Linked DNA regions of Daphnia pulex. The main gene of each other region encodes a partner of the protein of the gene in region 2 in a complex. Links are inferred from orthologs where the notes say so. Each region holds a gene or a part of one and is shown on either strand. Other genes may lie near its edges.

Region 1 (5,700 bases), on a different chromosome or scaffold from region 2:
GTAATACCCCTCTAGGCCTATTGTCTAATCTATGAAAAACGGCGCATATGCGACGCCCGCAATCAAAATGGGGAAATATATGGCGGATATCCTCCCGTTTTTCGAACCCAAAACAAGGGGAAAATAATAATTTTTTCACCAAATTTTTGTTAAGGCCTATTATCGATCGCCTAGAACAACCCCTATTGTCATTTCGTTCGAAATTTTTGTTTTTTTAAACTTCCATTAATTTAAAATACAATTAACTTTAATTCGATTAAATATAAAAGGGGTGGATTTCTCTTTTTATAAATAGGTATAGAATTTGGAATTGGGTCAGTTGGTTACATGAATATCAAATGGAATTTCTTATATGTGGGATATCTCAGACTCTCTCGGGGGGTGGGGAGAGAGAAATCAGAAATAAATAAATAAGAAACGATGAGAGCAAAGAAGGGGTAGTAGTAGAAGATGGTCGAATGTGATAGAGCGTTTTCTTCTTTCAGTTCCATACCCCCGCCAGCAGACAACAACAACAACAACCAACCAAAAGGGTTAGATAGGGAAATTTCCCATCCTTCTTCTCCCACCACATATGGTCAAAAAAAAGAAGAAAAAAAAACGAACGAACGAGAATGATAGTCATGCCGTTCCCCCCTCCTCCCCTCATCTCTCAACTCGTTTCTTCAACTCCATCAACAGTTTCCATCTTATCATTTTCAAAATGATTTTTCTTCTTCTTCTCTTTTCTCCCGTGTGTTCCCAATATTTCCATTCACCTTGAAACAAGAATTTCGGGAGAAAAATAAAATAATCACGCCCGCCAAATTCGAAAACCTTTGCGTGATGCATTTGTCTCTAATTCACGTTGAGAAATAATGGTTTGGAGTGAACGAAAAAAATGGAATAAAACCTGTTGTTGGGGAAGGGGGAGAAAAAGAAAAAGAAACATTTTTCGCTACTATCTACAGGTGTGCATCTAAGCTGTCTACGTCGGTATATACTTGTGAATGTTTTATATACCTGTCCCGAAACAATAAGCCATCTAGCGGCGGTCGTTGCTTTATTTTAAAAGGAAAATACTTTTCTATTTTTTAATGTTTCTTTTTAAAAACTTCTTTCTTTCTTTCTCTTTCAGAACTGAAAATGTCGGCGACAATGTCCGTAAGGGAGAAATTCACGCCCACAAAATGTTGTCCTTCTTCTTCTTCCTCCCCTGAAGCTCTTAGCTCACTCAGCCGGACAGAGAGCTGTGCTTTTTGTGTGAAGAAGAAGAAGAATATAAAGAAAGATACAATGTCTTTCAAAAATTATTTCTTTTTTTTTAAGTAATAAAAAACCTACCGCGTGTCTGTATACAATAACAGACACGAATATTTTTCAATAAATACACGCAGAAATAAACAAATTTCAAAGAGGCGGGAAATTCAAAAAAAAGTTCCGAAAAATTAAAAATAAAATAGGAAAAGAATAGGAGGGGTATATCTATACAGTTCCAGGAAGTGGTTTTATTTGTATTTACAGTCGACCGTGCCACACACACTCTACTGTGTTGTTCCCGAAAAAAATAAAAAGAACAAAAAATTCACGTCCGGAGTGAAATGGAGTAAAAATACCTAACCCCTCCGCCTCTCTCGACTTTGGGGTTTTGATAACGAACCCACACACAGACAGACAGACAGACTGGTATATTTATTATTTCGGCCGGAATCTTGTAAAGAAGAAAAATATATCGGGAAGACGAGAAGAAAGAAAGAAAAAAGGAACGAAATTAACATAAAAGTCTCGTATGTGTTAAGAATCTCAGTGGGGGGGGAAGGAAGGGGTTGGGTGGGGGGGGGGAGTCAGACAGCCCGAAGAAGAAGAACTCGTTTAAGAGTTGGAAAAAAGAAGTGAGGGACCTTTGCGAGCTGCACTCTTCCCCCTCTCTTTTCTTCATCTTCCTCCTCCCTTTTAGTATTTTTTGTTTTCTTTAAAGAAAAACATTTAAAAAAGAAGAAGAAGGGGGGGATATACACACACACACAGTTGCTGCCCCGAAGCGGTATGCGGCGCTTCTTCTATAGAACTAATAAGACTCTATATATTCCCCAGTTATCTCATATTTATCCTGAGCAACATCAAAATTTACCCTGGAAAATTCGTGAAATAAGAAAACAAATTGTTCAAACTCACCTGAAATTCTGCCAAACGTAATCTTCTCCAAAGACATAATCGCTGAACGCAGACACTGTTGTTGCATCAAAAAAGGGTTGGGGAGGGAGAGAGAAAAAAAAAGGAAGTGGGGAGACTGAACGCCACCCACTTCCAACCCCCTTTATTTTTCCCCCTTCTTACCGAACGACCGGAGATCGCCGAAAGGGGTCGGAGAAGATGGCAGCACTATATTTATACACACGGGAGAATTTTTTCTACTTCTTCTTTTTTAAAAAATAAAAAGCTAAACAACATTCTATCGTTTTTTTTTTCTCCTCCTCCCGCTCCCCCCTCCTCTTTTTTTTTGTTGCACGCCATTCCTAAACAAACGGACCGCGTGTTCTTTCTCTTCTTACGAGTGAACAGCAACTTCTCTCCCCCCTTCTTTCCATTTTGGGTTTTCTAAAGGAAGACAAAAAAAGAAGTGGATATATAAAAGGTTGGAATCCTTTTCAAACAGTTTCTTTTACAATCTGTCACCCCATCTTCCTTCCTTCCTGAAATGACTTGCCTCACCTGTGTGTGACAAGAATGTTCACTCAATATGATTTTGAAAAGAACAGATTTAAAATTGATGTTGTGGCGGAAACCAGAAATGAAACGAAATTCTTGCAGAGCAAATTGTTTGTTTCATTTTCTTCTTTTAAATATCAAAAATAGGGAACTAGAGCAAATAATGGTTGGATTTAGGAATTTGGACCTGTGCTCTGCATGGCCAGTTGGGTCTGTGCAATGTCGTGAAGTGCATTCTGAATTTTCTCGAGCATCAGCTCTCCTTCGCTGACAACCTCCCTCAATCGTGCAGCGGCACTTTCATTTTCATTCTCCAGCCTTCTGAGACTTGCAATCTGCAGCGATTGAATTAATTTTAGTCAACTTCGTAGAACATTGCACCGACAGAATACTAATAGAACCAAGTTTATACCTGCAGTTCGGAGGTAGAATCTTCACTGGGTAGTGAATCGATTAGGACGTCAATATCTTTGGCGCAGCGGGCAATCAATGTGGCAAAAAGAGAAGCGTGATCTTCTTGTTGTTGTTGAGGTGTTCGATTGCCTGCTCGATCGAAACCTGGGAATGTAGCCGGTGGGGCGGTTTGTTGCAAAATACCGATGGCATTGCAGAAATTATCAGCTTGCTAGAAACAGAGAATTAAACCACGAATTTGAGACGATACACTTGGCAATTTCGTCAATGCAATCAGTTATAAATACCGCATTTATAGCGTCTTGGAGTTGTGTCAAACGATCAGCCATTGTTGATGGAAATGCAGAGATGAGAAAAGCAGATGTGCCGGCTATTACGCCACCTAGCGATGAATCTGATAACTTCAATGCCAAATTTAAACATTCACAACCTGTATTGTGAAATTAATTCTACATTCTGATGATTACAGGAACTGGGCAGTAATTTACCGATCTGCATATATAATTTGTTAAAACAACAATTCAAGCTAAATATAATGCGTTATCTGATTCCCGTAACAGGCACTAAAACAAAATACTAGAACGTGATCCTGAACACATTACAGTTTAAAATTTTGTTTTCCTTCAACTAAGTAAATTTGGCTATTGCTATTAGTCAATTGATGGATAGATTCCAGGCAGTTGATTGCGGGATTATCGCCATCGGCAATCGCCATTAACTGTGTAGCAAAGATTTTCCCAACTTCGAAGGCAAGCGGATGAGTCGCATATTCTTTCAGCTAAAATATTTAAAATTCAATTACACAGACTAGGAATAATTGAAAATGTTGACATTTAGAAAACTAACCGGCATCCAACAAGCGTCGCTGAGCTCACGAGGACACATTTTGATTTCTGTGCTACCTTCAACAGGTCTGAGATAAGTCACGAAATAAATGTCTGAACAGCCGAACCTTGCACTGGGATTCTTCTCTCTTGATTGCAAATGCCGCACGGCAACGAGTGAAACGAACTCTGTCTTAATACCAGTCTCCTCAAACACCTCCCTCTTGACAGCAGTAGCAATACTTTCCCCTGTAAATTTAATAATTGGTAATGATTGAATGTTAATGATGTCTAAATATACATACCTGGATCTACATAACCACCAGGGAGTTTCCAGTGTGGTCTTTTGTAATACCTTTCCTGAACCACAAGAATCTCATTCTTATCATTGACAACCATGGCTCCAGCGCCTACCATTGTGTGTGCATAACTAGGCACTTGACAAGGTTCGTCAGAAGGCAACCATTTGAGCAACACACTCAACTCTGGGTTTGCGTGATGGAAAGAAAAGCCATTCTAAGAAAATGAATAAGGTAATGCTCGTGCAGTTTTGACTAGCAATAATTCTTCTTTGACTACCTGAATTAGTACTGGAATCCATTCAGCACAGGTTGGTTCCACTTCAAACCAGACTCCACGAACTCCAGTGGTGGACCAGACTTGCAGAGATTCTAAAAACAAACAAAACAACTATTACATAAAACAAATGATGTGTTAATATATAAAAATAAATTTGCACCTTTAAGAAGCTGCTCCATTCGGTTCCTTTCTTGTGGCTCTTCGCTCGAGCGCACAATGATTCCGCCGAAAAGATCCTTGGCACCTTGGAATGTCGACATTTTAACAACAATTGATTTCGTCTTGGCCAGAGCGCTGCTCAATAAATGACGAGCAGCAGTAGCATTCATAACACCCGTTCAATAAATATGTCATCACGGCCTATCTCTTCATCTATACACAGAGTCCTTTTTATTCTAGAGGCAGGAGATATCGTCCAACGACATCGTATAATATTTATGTTGACATCGTCTGCACTTTTATGTCCCGTGAATCCGAGTTGCCACACATTTTCCCTCTCTTTTCCGGCTTCTATTGTAAATCTCTGCCTGTCTTTTCCAACAATAAATGATAAATAAATGATACAGACACTTTACTAGAAGGGCATGAAATACAAATGCCAAGATTATGTATCTATCCATTTTTTCTGCCCATGTTATTTCACCAAAACGACCTGGCAAGTTGCGAATTTCGACCGCTAGATGGCCAAGTTCGTGACAAATCAACACGGGAACGGATGATTATGTTTTTCCTGCCCCTTTTCCCGATTCGTTTGACCGCCTCGCTAGGCAGCCACCACCTCCTACTCACGGTCAAACGCACAAACACGCACGCATACATTTTTTTTTTCTTTTAAAGATACACAAAGTCGTAGTAGTACACTCCCCCCACTCGCCGTACTGTATACACACACACACACTTTCTAAGTTTCTACTGTCAGCCGTTTGGGATTGCTGTGTGGCGCATTTGGCGGCCATGATCATCCATTTTATTTTTCTTCCCCCCACAAAAGCAATTGAAATCGAATCACACACAAACCCCCAGTGATGAAATATAACTTGTCAACTCACTTGTCAAGTGTTGAGCAAAAAAGGGAACATGAACAAGTCATGCGCCAGAACAAAACAAGAGTTAGTCCATATAATATCATGATCCATCCCATTTAATCCGGATGAGAAGAGATTTACGTATAACTAAACCATCTGCGCAAACACAC
Region 2 (7,168 bases):
CATGATGGAGGAAACCAGTTTTCGTTTTAGTAGTGGCCTGTCTCGCAGTTTACGCTCATAGTAATGCAACGTTGTGTAAAGGTAAGTGACTGGTCGATCGTGAAATTTGTACAAGCAGCCTAGGTGTTCTAGGATGGTTTCGAGCGATTTGGTTACTGGTGGAATCTCAGTGAAACGATGAATAGTGATGTCGAAAACGGGAAGGAAACGGAGGCAAACGTTACCAAAGTAAGTAGGGAGAGATTGGTAAGAGCCACCCTGGCCAATGCTTTCAAGCACCGATTCGGGAGGTCCAAAGCGTTCTGGAAACTTTCGCTGGAAAGCTAAATGCTTTTCGTGCCAATTGTTTTGACGCCAGTGCTCGGACGAATTATCTTTGACGAAATCTTGAACACGCGAACGGAACTGCGGTGTTTTTAGAAGCAGCAATTGAATGATGAAACAGCAAACTTGGGCTTCGTTACCTTCCAGGGGACGCCTAGTAATGAACAGCTCGTTAATTAAGAAAACTAGATTCACTATGCATTATAAATACTCACAAGGCCAGACAGAGAACGAGTCGCTCAATAGTCACGACGTTATATTGCCACACCATTTCGTTAAGCACGTCAATGCACTTGTTAACGTGTTGACCTTTGCCAGAATTGGCAAATTCATAAACCAAGAAGTCGCAGAATGTACGCAGGTGGCTGCCCAAACCTCTGGCGCCTATGCGTTCGATGCACTTGTAAGCTACGGGATTGATACGTTCCGTTTCAAGAAGTTGCTTCCACAACAAGCAAAGGAAAAATGGCGGATTGTTTGATTGTGGGGCAAAGTGAGCCGGCCAATCGTCTGGATTCATGGTCAATACTTTTCGGTGCTCTTCTTCGATATTTTGCTTCAACTGCTGCTTTGATTCCTTGACTGGTTGATTCGCTGCCTGTCCGAAGAACTCGGCTAGGGGTGGAGGAAAGCAGTCGCGTGTGTTACTGGACCAGCTATGAGGCGTCTGTTGCTGTATTAAAGTTAGCAGATCCTTGTACCAGCTGCTATGTTGCGTTTCACATCCAGCGACGCTGATTACTCGAGCAAGCGTTAGGATGAGCGCTCTGTTGAGTTCTTCCGAATCGCTTGAGAAGAGTGGTTTAATATCGGCAGCTGATCGCGAATAACTGTTAAAATAATGGATAATTAAACCAGAAATTAAGTTGTTGCTTTTGAAGGGTTCCAAATTATTACCAAGGTTGCATTTCTGCTGCACCAAGTAATCCTATAAGCCTCAAGGCCGCATTTTCAACACATAGTGTCAGCTGTGTTTGATGCTGTTGTGGCACTGCGCACGAATGCAACAGAGTTAACAGCTGTATGCGATATTGTGGTTGCATGTGGTGAACACGAAAAGTGAACATTTCCACCAGGGTATGGAAGATACCCCACGCTTGTGATTTCGAAACGCTAGTCATCACTTGCGTGATGAAGCCCTTGATACCTAACGACTCTATCTCAGTGTAGACCAATAGGCGGCTGTACGTTTCAACGAGGGCCGGAGCTAAAGGAACGTTCATTTTTGTTTGTGCGCATTTGATAACGTGCGTCACAATACTGAACAAAGAAAATGATAAGAAATTAATAAAGAAAACCTTAAAACTGTAAAGCATGTGAAGTGATTACCTATGAATGAGCGACATTTTAGCATGCACAGTCAGTGCGTCTAAAAAGGCCAGCGGAATGGGTGAAATGGGTCCTGTATTTGGCATACCACCAGCGCTTCCTCCTGCGTTCCCAGAACCTTTTTGGCTTAGGTTTCCGTGCAACGATTCCATTAGCGAACCCATAGGGCGAGCCAAACAGTCTAACGTCGTGGAGAATGCATTGCAAAGCAGAGCTACCCTGTAGTCCCCAGAAGGAGCACTGCTTGGGGGATTAAGAGCATTATGCTGTAGAAATTCTTGGTGATTTTTAAGTGCCTGAGGAAAATGTCTCTGAAGCAGAGTCGTAAAAGCTCGAGAATCCGTTTTCCCTCCAGTTGGGGCCGCAGGAGAAGGATTGGTGCCGGTAGCTCCGGCAGTCGACGCGGCCGCAGCAGCTGCAGCAATTTCTTTCTGGGCGTTTTGTTGTTCTGTCTGGGCTTTCTTGACAATATGTATCCATATACATGCAACGGCCATTTGATGTACGCAGATAGGTCGAGTGTAGTCCGGAACAGGCAAAGGTTCACGCTCAGGATAGAGTAGATCGTACAGCCGCAAAAGAGGCAAGAATTCGGCCAGAGGATTCTTCTGGATGCTGCCAGATATGTACTGGAGAAGAACCCACATTAATTGATCGCGCCCTTTGCGTAGTTTTCGTTCTGCCAATTTCTCGTGCAATAACGTGACTAGATGGGAAAATGAGGCGAACTGGAAAAGAACAAAGTAAATGATTTGGCTGGATAAGTGGTGCCAGAGCCAATGAGAAACGCCCAACTCGTCGGCGGCATCTGAATCCTGTTCAGGGGCGATTTCTGCACGTTCCATAGCTTGCACCAGTAGTTCTACAAGTTGTTCTTCCAATACTGCATGTCTCTGCTTGTGTTGCTTTTGTAAGCCCAGCATTCCACAAAGTACTTCACGGGAGTAGGGCTGCTCCAAAACGTACCGGATCAAGCGGGTCTGTGGCTCCGTATACTCTTTTTCATAGGGTAAATTCCCTTTCAAAGCAAGTTTGAGTGTACCCTGTTCCAGTTTCCAACTGTGGTGGACACCATGGGCAGAGGGGTCAACCACAGGGAACATCAAAGGTCTGCCAATAGGAGAGAGCATTTGCACCAAAGGGCGAAAGCTATCCACAACTTCTGATAATAGACCAGCCAATTTCCAATGAGGCCAGTCTTTGTTTTCTGGATACATTTTTCTTATTTCATTCACGATGAAATAGGCTGGCAATAGACAGACTTGGCGGTCTAGAATGTGTTTCAAAGTATGCTCCAATGCTGTTACATTTGGATATTCTGATGTTGAAAATCGGCTTGGCAAGAGTTGTGCCTTTTCCAGGCATGTTTTCATTATTTCTCGTACTCCTTTGTAATCCACATGACACACAATTTTCCTGATGAGTGAGAAGCTTCCCTGCCATAAAAGTGGATTTGCAGGAGTAAGCTTCTCATTGCCCAAAAGTGAGTCACATACTTTCCTATTGAAATAAAGGAATAAAAAGTGATACAGAAGGACATTACAATACATGAAATTGAATCTTTTACCGGGATGTTGCAATATTTGTGTTTACTACACTTTCCAGAAGTTTAAATAATATTTTTGAGTGTGAATCACTACTGACCCCAGAAATGACAGCAATAAACTGAGGCAAAATAGCATCTTGTGATTCAGCCTGAGAGTCATTCATCATCGCTATCAAATCTTTTTCCAAGGCACTATATTTAACTCCCTCATCCTTGCGTTGGATCAGGAAATCATTAAAAGCTTCTTCAATGGCATCAACTTTCTGTAATTTGACTCAAGCATTAGTATATTAGTTTTATTTTTCATTTGAAAAGATTATCATACCAATGCTTCCGAAACCAACGCTTGTACTTTACTTCCGTCCAATGCCATTTTTAGGCCGACTTTAAAAAGTAAAGTCACGCTTTACTGATATCAGTTGAAGATTTGATTCACAGGATAAACTTAATTGCAGCCAGACCTTTTAAAACATAAAGAAGTCAACAATGGGAGAAGATCAGAATACCGGTCGTGAATCTTTCAAGAAAAATATCGAAGTGCCAAACGTTGATGCGAACGCCATCTATCAATAATATCTAAACATTTGGAAATATTCAAACTCGCCGCTAATAAATGGGGAAAAATCTCGAACATCGAAGAACTGGAAACGATGCAAAAAAAAACAGCAATTAGGAAAAGAGAACAAGGGGACAAGAGTTCAATCAATTTGATAATAATCTCTCGTCATGGTCCCTTGTTTCTGTTTCATTCTTTCAGCTCCTGACCAGCAGACAAGAGTGTCGTGAGCTACTTCAATCCCCATTATTTAGCTATATGACTACTATGATTCATAAAATATTTTGATCTGAATTTAGACAATGATTTGATGAATTGCAAAATGGCAAAACCTTAGCACCCGGAAGGACGAAATCTAAAAATGTCTTATTTTCAAACATGAATTTTTAACTAAATAATAGAAAGAACACACGGAAACAACGATTTCCTTACAAGAAGAGTCCTTTTTGTAGCTAAAAACGAGTTTGACAGAGCGCTAAAGGCGTTTCAACCTGACGACAACCGATTGATAGAATGTGACTGAGTTGCTTTAAAGGAAGACTAGTATTAAAGGATAGTAGCCAAGCCCAGTAAGCTTTACACATTCGTTACAGTTACAGTATTTCTTATGTAATTCTTCTTTTCATTTGTCCATAATTACTGATCCTGTGGATGAACTTAAAAATGCATTCAGCAGCTGTATCAATGGTAATCTGATTACAACAATTTTCTTCTCGTCAAGTGTGGATTTTTCGATTCTTTCCTTATTAGAATCGTTTAAGCTTTGTTCTGCTTCTCGTCGCACTTACCTTGATTGTTCTGGTGAGCAGCAGCCCATCAGGTGTTCAAGGAGGTAAATAAATTCTTTCCTAAAGCCAGTAAGTAAATTTACCATTTAATTTATTAAATTATAGTTCGACAAGAAATCTCACAACAAACTGACCGGCCACAGTGTGTCTGTAGTAGACAATGGGCCCCAGTTTGCGGAACAGATGGGAAAACCTACGAAAACGAAGGATGTTTGAGAGTTCAAACTACGAAATGCGGAACTGAGCAATCGTTGGTTAGTGAGGCTTATGAAGGTGAATGTCAACAATCAAATTTAGCTGCGATTGGTGAACAACTTTGTACCTGCATCTTCGTGTGTTCCATCTGTGTGAATCTCTTTGTAAATTTTCGGAAAATTTGAATCTAGAAAAATGTGTAGGCTAATTAAATTGATACTAGATTTCTTTACGACATTCTCTACCTAATTTATTTGTTGCCGTTTCTTTCCATTGCAAACCATTGTCTTGCGCTGTTTTTTTTCCGAGAATTCTGTTACAATTTAATTCGCGGTACTCATAAATAATTTATTACGACAGCTTACACTTGCTCGTTAAGTGAAAGAACTTTTCGTGAAAGCTCAAACTCTGGACACGAACAAAGACGACTTGATATCCTAAAACCTGTTTAACAGGTTAAGTTAACTAATTAATTAGTATTTCCCAAACTATACTCTTCAGCGCCAGCATTTCACTTAGATTTATTTAACAACATTTATTTCACAACTAAAATATTCTTCTGCTGTTCTAGGACAACTTCGTTTTACCTGCCTGTGTGTAGTAGATTAATGTACACTACGATACTTTGTAGCGTGCTTTTTGGCGTTGTTATTGTGGTGACTATGTACGTTGGAAAGTTGCGTTGACCAAAACAAGTTGCACGAAATAAAACCTGCATGGAGAACCGTTTAGTTTGTTCGTCGTCAAATTCCTCCTTGCGAGTTGCGTGAGAGTATGCACTAGCAATCTCAAATCTAAACAGAAAACCGGTTTACATGTTTGTAGCCGCTAGCACTGGGCGTTTCAAATACTTTTACGACACTGGTTAAAGCTACATATACCAAATTCGCTTGGATAGTAACAAATCAGTTTCTTACAGTTTTGTCCAACATTCACATCATATACTCTGTAAAAAGGAATCCGAAAATAAACGGTCACCAAATTGAAATGGTATTATTCTTTAACACGCAATATGTACCTCCCCCAAAAGTGGCAATGTAATTGTGTACATACTTAATTATTTTTGTACGAAATTTCCGTCATAGAACCGATTCAGCGCAGCTCTTCTTCTCATCTCACTTGTTACTTTGATTTTGATTAGCTCTGGCGTCCAAGGAAGTATGAAATTACGCTCACATATTAATTTTTGTATAGATAAATAACTGTTATGTCATGTTATTTCTCAGTTCCACAAGACCAGGATCCTAGCTGCAACTGCAAGAAAAATTACGCCCCAGTATGTGGAACAGACGGGAAAACTTACTCTAACGAATGCGTATTGAGTGTCGAGACTAAAGGTATATGTGGAAAGACTAAGTCGTCCATCACAAAGGCTTATGACGGTGCATGCAAAGAAGCGAGCCCATAAAATGGCGGAGACAAATTATTTTCATTAAATAGTAACTCCAAAATTATAGTGATCCCCTCTTATTCATTATTGATTTCAAATACGAACAATGTTTTAGTACGTTTTCGTCACGCTATTTTATTATGATGACCAGTGGGCTTTTATATACTTGTGCTATTTGCTGTGCAATCCCACTCATTGTATACAGGCTTTTAAATACATCTAAAATTATATTGATTAATTTACATGACTGAGATGAGATTTTACTTCACATTCCATACCATATGTCTAACCTACGCATACCAAGAGCAAGAAAATCGAACGCTTTAGTTTAAATGCGAGGGTGATATCCGTTGAATGATGGGTGCATATTTAAGCGATCCTAGATACGTAGTTTCATTCATTTTTGAATCCACTAAATCTTTACAAAATGGCCGCGTAATATGTAGCCTACTGCGTAGTAGAATATAACTCGGTATGCAACCCGCGGGAACAAAGGATTTTGACAGAGGAAAATAGAGCAGGTTACAATGTTAAAAACATCATTGTTTTATGATTCAACAAAAGAATATACTTCCGCTTCATTCTTTCCATCAGTTTGTAGGTAATATGACGTATTCGTCGCGCCATTGAAATCAATAATGTTCTAAACATTAAGGCCTATTGGTTGTCTTTTTTCTCCGAAACGGAACTGAAAAACGGGGGTTATTATTTAAAAAAAAAACGTATGTTGTAACTAAAATGTGGAAATTGTTCCCTTGGATTTTCCCAACATGGAGATATTTAGAAATAATCCCCTTTGGCGCTGGGCGTTTGCAGTCTACAAAATCCTGATGAATCGAGGCACTACAGACGTATAACATAAACAGCAGTACTATATAAAGGTGTCCGTCGATAGACAACATTTTCAGATTTAAAACTTCCTTCGCTCTCCATCGACTCAAACATTTTTCTCTTGAAATGCTTCAGTTCTACTCAAAGGTAAATTATATTATTATTTTTGTAATTATCGGAGTTTGTGCAGACTCTTAAGATAACCAAGA
Region 3 (6,151 bases), on a different chromosome or scaffold from region 2:
ATATCTTTAGAATCATGGTTCGATCAATATTATACGTCGTCCCTACACGAAGGTCACCTTGACACAGGATCGTTCGGTACGAATCCTAGAAACTCTTACATTTTGTGAACTACATTCAAACCGATATGGTTTCACACTTACCTTCTCCAATTTACAAGATATGTAACTATTCAAATTGTATGATGCAACTTACTTGGTAATATGAATTTGACTGGAAAAGACGAAGGAATTATCAGGACAGACGAGATCGTACAGTCGGTGCAGTCGAAGTGACGAGCTAGTCTTGGGAGTCGGGGCTATTTGCTATATACCGCCGGTTGGGTGGCTTTTAAAGAGTCGAAGCGACGAGCCTGAATCCGTGCGGCTAGCGGGAAAAATTCCAACGTGAATCTATGCACGTTGGCTATAAATACGATAGTACTGACTGGGAAGTTAAGTTTGGTAAGGGCACCTTGTCGTCTCGTCCTCACGAATTTTCTGACACGCTTTTTTCTGTGTTCCCCTTCGTGTTTGACAGTAGTATGACCCTCAGGCAATGTCAGTTGATCACGTGCACCTCGACAAGCAGACATAAAAGTGGCTATTCTATGTGAAATCTTTAAAAATTCAATTTCCTTTGAGTTTGTTAACTTGTTATTATCACGCAATTCAGTATTCTGTTTTGATGCCGAAAAAATCAAAACAACTTATGCACACAAACAATTTCAATGCCATTTAGATGACGTTGTTTTGACCGTGGAAACGAGATCCCTTAAGTGTGTGTACATAAATATGGCGAGAATATATGAAGGTTAAAACTCGATATTTAGCTACGTGATAGTGGTGGAATATTATATTTTTATTTTTCATTATCTTCCCAGATAATCGATCGAGTTAACTCAAAAACAAACTGCAGGATCAGGATTGAGAATAATCCACGTCATTATTTAGTGCTGCAATAACAAATGTATCAAACTTAAAAACAAACACGTTTCGAATTTTTATTCGTCTACTTTTATTTTGATTATAGACGACCTTGACTATCTTTACTACGGCTGCATTCTGTTTAGATCGTCGTCAAGCGCCACTTGCTCGGTCTACACACGTCAAGAATGGCTGATATGCTGAACATTTCGCTGGTAAACGAATTGAATTATGAAGATTTCATCAGTCGATTCGGTAATGTAGTTGAACATTGTTCAATTTGCGCGGCGGCAATTTGGCGTAATCGCCCATTTCGTGACGTTCATCATCTCCACCAAGAAATTTGCTCGTTTTTGGACCTCCTTCCGGACACAGGTTAGAACTATTTAGTTACAGGCTGCTTGAATGCTTATTTATAGCCAATCAATTGAACATTTGTTTTCTCATTTGATAGGTAAAGAGGGGGTGCTAAGACTTCACCCTGATTTGGCTGGCAGGCTAGCTGAACTTGGCAGCCTAACACAGGAGAGTACTGCTGAACAGAAAGCTGCTGGTTTAGACACAATGACACCTGGTGAAAAACAACTGCTAGGAGAGACCAACATCAAGTATGACAAATTACTGTTCTATAACTATATAGTAACTAATGAGCTGTGTCTTTTGGGCTATTATTTTAATAGATACAGAGAAAAGTTTGGATTTCCTTTTGTTATCTGTGCCAGGCAGAACAAGAAGGAAGCAATCTTGAAAGGAATAGTTGAGAGATTGGAACACTCAGCTGCTGAAGAACTAAACATTGGGATTGAAGAAGTGAAGAAAATCTGCCTTTTGAGGTTGTTGAGTATAGTAACTGATGACAAATCTCGTAATATGTAGAGATTTTCCACTCGCTCCCATCAGTTGAGGTCAACAGCAGCTATTCCATTCTAAACATTCTCACTCAAAACAAGTCTTCCAAAACATATGTGTTGTTAACATTTTGTCTGGTAGTTTGCAAAAACTCAACACAAAATACAGCAATTTACAAAAATTTGTCTATATTGTCTTGCATATACTTGCCCAATATAAGAGAAGTTTAAAAAGTTCCTTAAACAATAATTATCATGAATCAAACACTTTTCTGGGGTGTTGGCTCATTCTGAACAGTCATCATGTGCTTCTCAGCTTGACTTTGAAGAAGACGAACCCTCTTTCTAGTGTAATGTTGCCAGTGAAGGATTTGTTGATCATCAATGAAGCGAGCACACTGGCCATTCACAACCTCCTTTCTGAAATGCTCATATTGAAGCAAGTCTAGGAAATGCAAACACATTGGGTACCTGGAAAATAATGAAATTGTAATTTCTAGTTAGGGTAAATTGCAAGTGAATTGGTGTACTTCAAATATTTTGCATAAGCAGGCTCCTTCCAATACTGTAAATACTTGATGTAGTTGACAAACGCCGGATCCTTAAAATAGCCACGTTGAGCAAGGACTAGTGTAAACAAGGCATAATGAAAGTGTTGATTTTAAAAATAGACCAAATACTTACAGTGCAGATAATTTGGATTTGCGAAACATTGCACAAATTCTAGTTCCACCTGAAATCGAATCCTTTGTTGTTCATCAGTTTCTACCCATCGGAAAAAGGAATAATAACATAGCAATGAGAATCTGTATTGAAAACGACTACACTTCACGATATATTTACCTCTGGTGCTCATTGCGAAGCAAACAACGAAATAACGTAGTTTGCTTCAACAGTTTTGGAAATCTAGAAACGAGGCAACCGGACAGAATGGAAACGTCAGACAACAACTTGAAATGGAAATTGGAAAGCGTCAACTTTTGCAATTTGTCGTCTGCTTGATCAATTGATGCCATCTAGAAAGAAATCGAGAAAATATTAAAAATTGAATTAACTTAAAAAAATTTTTACAAAATAAAAAAAAAATTAAAACGATTTCAAATTTCATGCCCACAATTTATTAATGTGTGTGGTGGCCTTATCACACAGTTTGATTTCCGAATTTGGATAACATTTTGCGGTTGCGCTGCGCCGTAGGACCCTAATAAACCATGAAGCCGCAGCTGATAGGCTAGACGGCTAGACTATACTAACTTCAGTTTGCACCGTGAGTTATTTTATTTTCCTGTAGGAGGTAAGATCAATAGAAGAATTTAGATGGAATATGGAGTTGAAAAACAAAAATACCAAAATAAAAAAGTCAAATCAGAAAAATTATGAATTCAGCAGGAAAGGCGAACGGAAAAATAAAAAGATGGAATATATTACCGTGTGATTTCCAGTTGTTTCACATATGCGACATTCTACGCCTCCGTTACTATTTTATCGTCCTTTTCCAGAACGGAAATATTTGAAAGTAGGCTAATCAAAAATATTCAACCCAAACGAAATCTGTTGAAATTTTTCTTTGACTTTTGTTCTTATTTTCGCCACTTTTGATCGGATATCCGGTGCGGGGGCGATAGCATTCTACCATGTATAGGTCAGAAATATCATCTTAAAGTGTCATATCTACTCCGTGTATACGTGACATCCGGATAATGCACGCGGCCGTGAGGGCGGTGTATCATGTCTGAGTGCATATTCACGTATTGTACATGTGGTAGGTCTATACTACGTAGCCATCCTCCTGCGCACTCGGCGGATGTATAATGGTTGGTTCTCACCTACGGCCCCGAGTTTTCCGGTAGACCATGCGACAATCAAGAGGATGAACGTATCAATCTTAATTCCCTGGTATTATCTAATAATCGTGCTTGAAATTCCACTCTTCTATGATTATAAGTTCAATCAGCAAAGTGACGTGATTGGAGTAACAAATAGATTCAACGCGGATTTCTGCCGTCGGTCCGGGATAAATGATGGAGTAATATTCCATCATTGATAGCACAGAATTCAGTAGAGCGTAGGTAGCAACAGGTGGCGTGACATGACAAAAATGATCCAGCTGTTGCTGAGGCAGTGTGGGCTTTTATCAATCACCTGCCGCTTATTGCCTGACCCATATCAGCCTTTTTTTTTTTTACCTGAGGAGTTTCAAATTTTCGTGGAAAAGATTCTCATTACATTTCCCCGCCATATTAATAACGCTTTTGCCACTAGGTAGACGAACCGGTGGGCGGTGGCACGTGCGACGGACAATGCCCAAAAACTGACTCCGCCTCGTCTCTATACTTTCGGCAACTGTTGTGATGTTAACCTGCCGTTGAAGGCAATTACAGCAAGCCCCCGATTCCATTTGCGTCACGTCGCCGAGTATATAGCAGTCGACGCAGAGAGGGGGGGGGGAAACAAAAAATTAAACAATGTAATAAACAAAACAAAAGGGCGACGCGAAATCTTATTAACGCAAAATATTAACGTCAAACAACTTGTCGACGCGTCAACGAAAATGGCAATCATATGCAGCCCACTGCTGGGGTACATCGTATTTTTTAACTAGTCTAGTAGACGAATCATCATCTTTCTCCTGAACCTTTTGCTTCAAATGAACTGAGACTAGACATTAATATTTATCTGATCGCGTTATTTACAAAACAGCAAAGCGCATAGCATACAACTTATTAATCTAATGGTACTCAGCAGTAAGCGTGTTATACGTCGTATTAGGATGACAAGTTTCCTACCAGGTGAAATCTTCATTCGTGAATATTCAAGTGAACATCTGATGCGATTTCGCATTCATTATTCAAATATTATAAAGAGTAGTACAAACACATTATATAGCTAGCGCTTTTAGCTGGGTAGCTATATGAAAATTGAGTGACAATTCAAAAAGAAAAGGAATAATCAGAAAACGGGATCAAAGGATTTGGTCGGATTTGATGGTCTTACGAAACGAGTGATGGGAATAAGAATTCATTATGCAACAAACTGTGGGGAATTGAACGACAACGACTAAAAAATAACGGGTGGTTGCGTTATTTTTGTCTATTCTGTTAACGTGACCATCATTAAGTGGCTATTAACGGGATCCAGTTACATAGACTTTAATGTCAACCATATACCGACTCTTTTTTTTTCTTTACTGAAATTATCAGAATGGGGAATAAGTAGGCTAATTATAATTGAATTGCCAGGAACACTTATTGACACATGCAAAAAATCTATAAACGAGTCGATCCTATTAGTCGCAAATGTTTCAATTATTCAACTCACGCCGCTGCAGCTATATAATGAAATCACCAAGAATTTGCAAGTCTTAATCATCCTTATGCAGCGCTATACATTATTTTCGACATGATGTCAAAAATAGAATAGTTTGACATCAAAATAAAATCTTTCTTTTGTTTATAGTCTTCTTCCCTTTCTCACTCTTACGCGTACATGTCGAGGGGGTACGAGTGAATGACATCAAGTCTAACTATACCGTCTTCAACCAGTTATACGGTACATAGAAAACATTGTAGGCTGTTGTCATGGAGAAGCAATTAGGGTCTATATTGTACTGTTGCCGTGAAGAAAAAATCCACCGGAAGAATAAGAAATTTAAGAATCAAATCAAAATATCGCCCTATATGCGTATTATTATTTCTCCTTCTAAGTAGAAAATTTGACTGCGAATCCATCATGTAAGCAGCACATGCCAGCTATAGAAAAACAAAAGAGTATCCGAGAAACATTGTGTTCTATTCTCTCTATCTAAAAGGGAATAACAGCTGATGATGTCACATCCTGCCATTACATTATCCAGTGCCAGAAAGCTTTTTTTTTTCTTCCGCTCCGGAATAAAATAAAAGGACACTGCTCTTAGGAGTGCAGCAGTGGGTCCTTTTTTAATATATAATACATATATATCAACCTCCAAGGGAGTAAAGAAAAAAGAAAAGTAGAATGATCGAATACATTACAGTGCGGATATGGATGGTGCCGTAACGGCGATGACGCCGGCGTTCAAAACGTTAATATCCCGACGAAATATATAGTAATGTGACGTGGTAATCGCTCACAACAGAGGAAATTCACCACAAGTCCTCATCTGATGTAACAACCAACAAAGAAGCAATATTACAGTTGCAAATTCCAGCCAACTGCCAACCTTTGTATCGATATTTTGGCCGGTGCAATCACACTCAGACTATATAGGATTGGCCATCGATCCATAACCATATGCCTACAGCACCACACATATGATTTGGCGTGCACAGGATATGTATATAAATGATTGACTATCTAAAAGGTCTAGCTAATATAATAGCCTATTATTATTAATAAATAATTAATTGAATCTTTTAATTGAA

Evidence for each region.
Region 1: mediator of RNA polymerase II transcription subunit 23-like (region 2) and mediator of RNA polymerase II transcription subunit 21-like share a complex: the UniProt entries of both Drosophila melanogaster proteins name them as parts of the mediator complex. The link is inferred for Daphnia pulex from reciprocal best matches to the Drosophila melanogaster genes MED23 and MED21.
Region 3: mediator of RNA polymerase II transcription subunit 23-like (region 2) and mediator of RNA polymerase II transcription subunit 31-A-like share a complex: the UniProt entries of both Drosophila melanogaster proteins name them as parts of the mediator complex. The link is inferred for Daphnia pulex from reciprocal best matches to the Drosophila melanogaster genes MED23 and MED31.

What each region holds. Positions count from the first base shown.
Region 1 is NC_060027.1:1,943,853-1,949,552, forward strand, and holds mediator of RNA polymerase II transcription subunit 21-like, read right to left. Parts: upstream 3,525-5,700; 5' UTR 3,432-3,524; coding exon 3,390-3,431; intron 3,314-3,389; coding exon 3,101-3,313; intron 3,024-3,100; coding exon 2,862-3,023; 3' UTR 2,785-2,861; downstream 1-2,784. Other genes in the region: nudix hydrolase 8-like, read right to left, coding at 3,701-3,880, 3,949-4,175, 4,232-4,442, 4,506-4,597, 4,666-4,834. UniProt on the Drosophila melanogaster protein: Component of the Mediator complex, a coactivator involved in the regulated transcription of nearly all RNA polymerase II-dependent genes.
Region 2 is NC_060019.1:10,878,869-10,886,036, forward strand, and holds part of mediator of RNA polymerase II transcription subunit 23-like, read right to left. Parts: intron 7,107-7,168; coding exon of another isoform or gene 7,010-7,106; intron 6,279-7,009; coding exon of another isoform or gene 6,244-6,278; intron 6,144-6,243; coding exon of another isoform or gene 5,965-6,143; intron 5,897-5,964; coding exon of another isoform or gene 5,824-5,896; intron 5,729-5,823; coding exon of another isoform or gene 5,726-5,728; exon of another isoform or gene 5,570-5,725; intron 4,731-5,569; exon of another isoform or gene 4,649-4,730; intron 4,605-4,648; exon of another isoform or gene 4,506-4,604; intron 4,443-4,505; exon of another isoform or gene 4,145-4,442; intron 3,661-4,144; 5' UTR 3,573-3,660; coding exon 3,525-3,572; intron 3,463-3,524; coding exon 3,221-3,462; intron 3,154-3,220; coding exon 1,654-3,153; intron 1,585-1,653; coding exon 1,222-1,584; intron 1,155-1,221; coding exon 540-1,154; intron 479-539; coding exon 1-478. Other genes in the region: ovoinhibitor-like, read left to right, coding at 5,726-5,728, 5,824-5,896, 5,965-6,143, 6,244-6,278, 7,010-7,106. UniProt on the Drosophila melanogaster protein: Component of the Mediator complex, a coactivator involved in the regulated transcription of nearly all RNA polymerase II-dependent genes.
Region 3 is NC_060024.1:13,243,812-13,249,962, forward strand, and holds mediator of RNA polymerase II transcription subunit 31-A-like, read right to left. Parts: upstream 2,749-6,151; 5' UTR 2,608-2,748; coding exon 2,595-2,607; intron 2,517-2,594; coding exon 2,436-2,516; intron 2,379-2,435; coding exon 2,282-2,378; intron 2,223-2,281; coding exon 2,012-2,222; 3' UTR 1,924-2,011; downstream 1-1,923. Other genes in the region: 2-oxo-4-hydroxy-4-carboxy-5-ureidoimidazoline decarboxylase-like, read left to right, coding at 1,092-1,278, 1,358-1,511, 1,584-1,779. UniProt on the Drosophila melanogaster protein: Component of the Mediator complex, a coactivator involved in the regulated transcription of nearly all RNA polymerase II-dependent genes.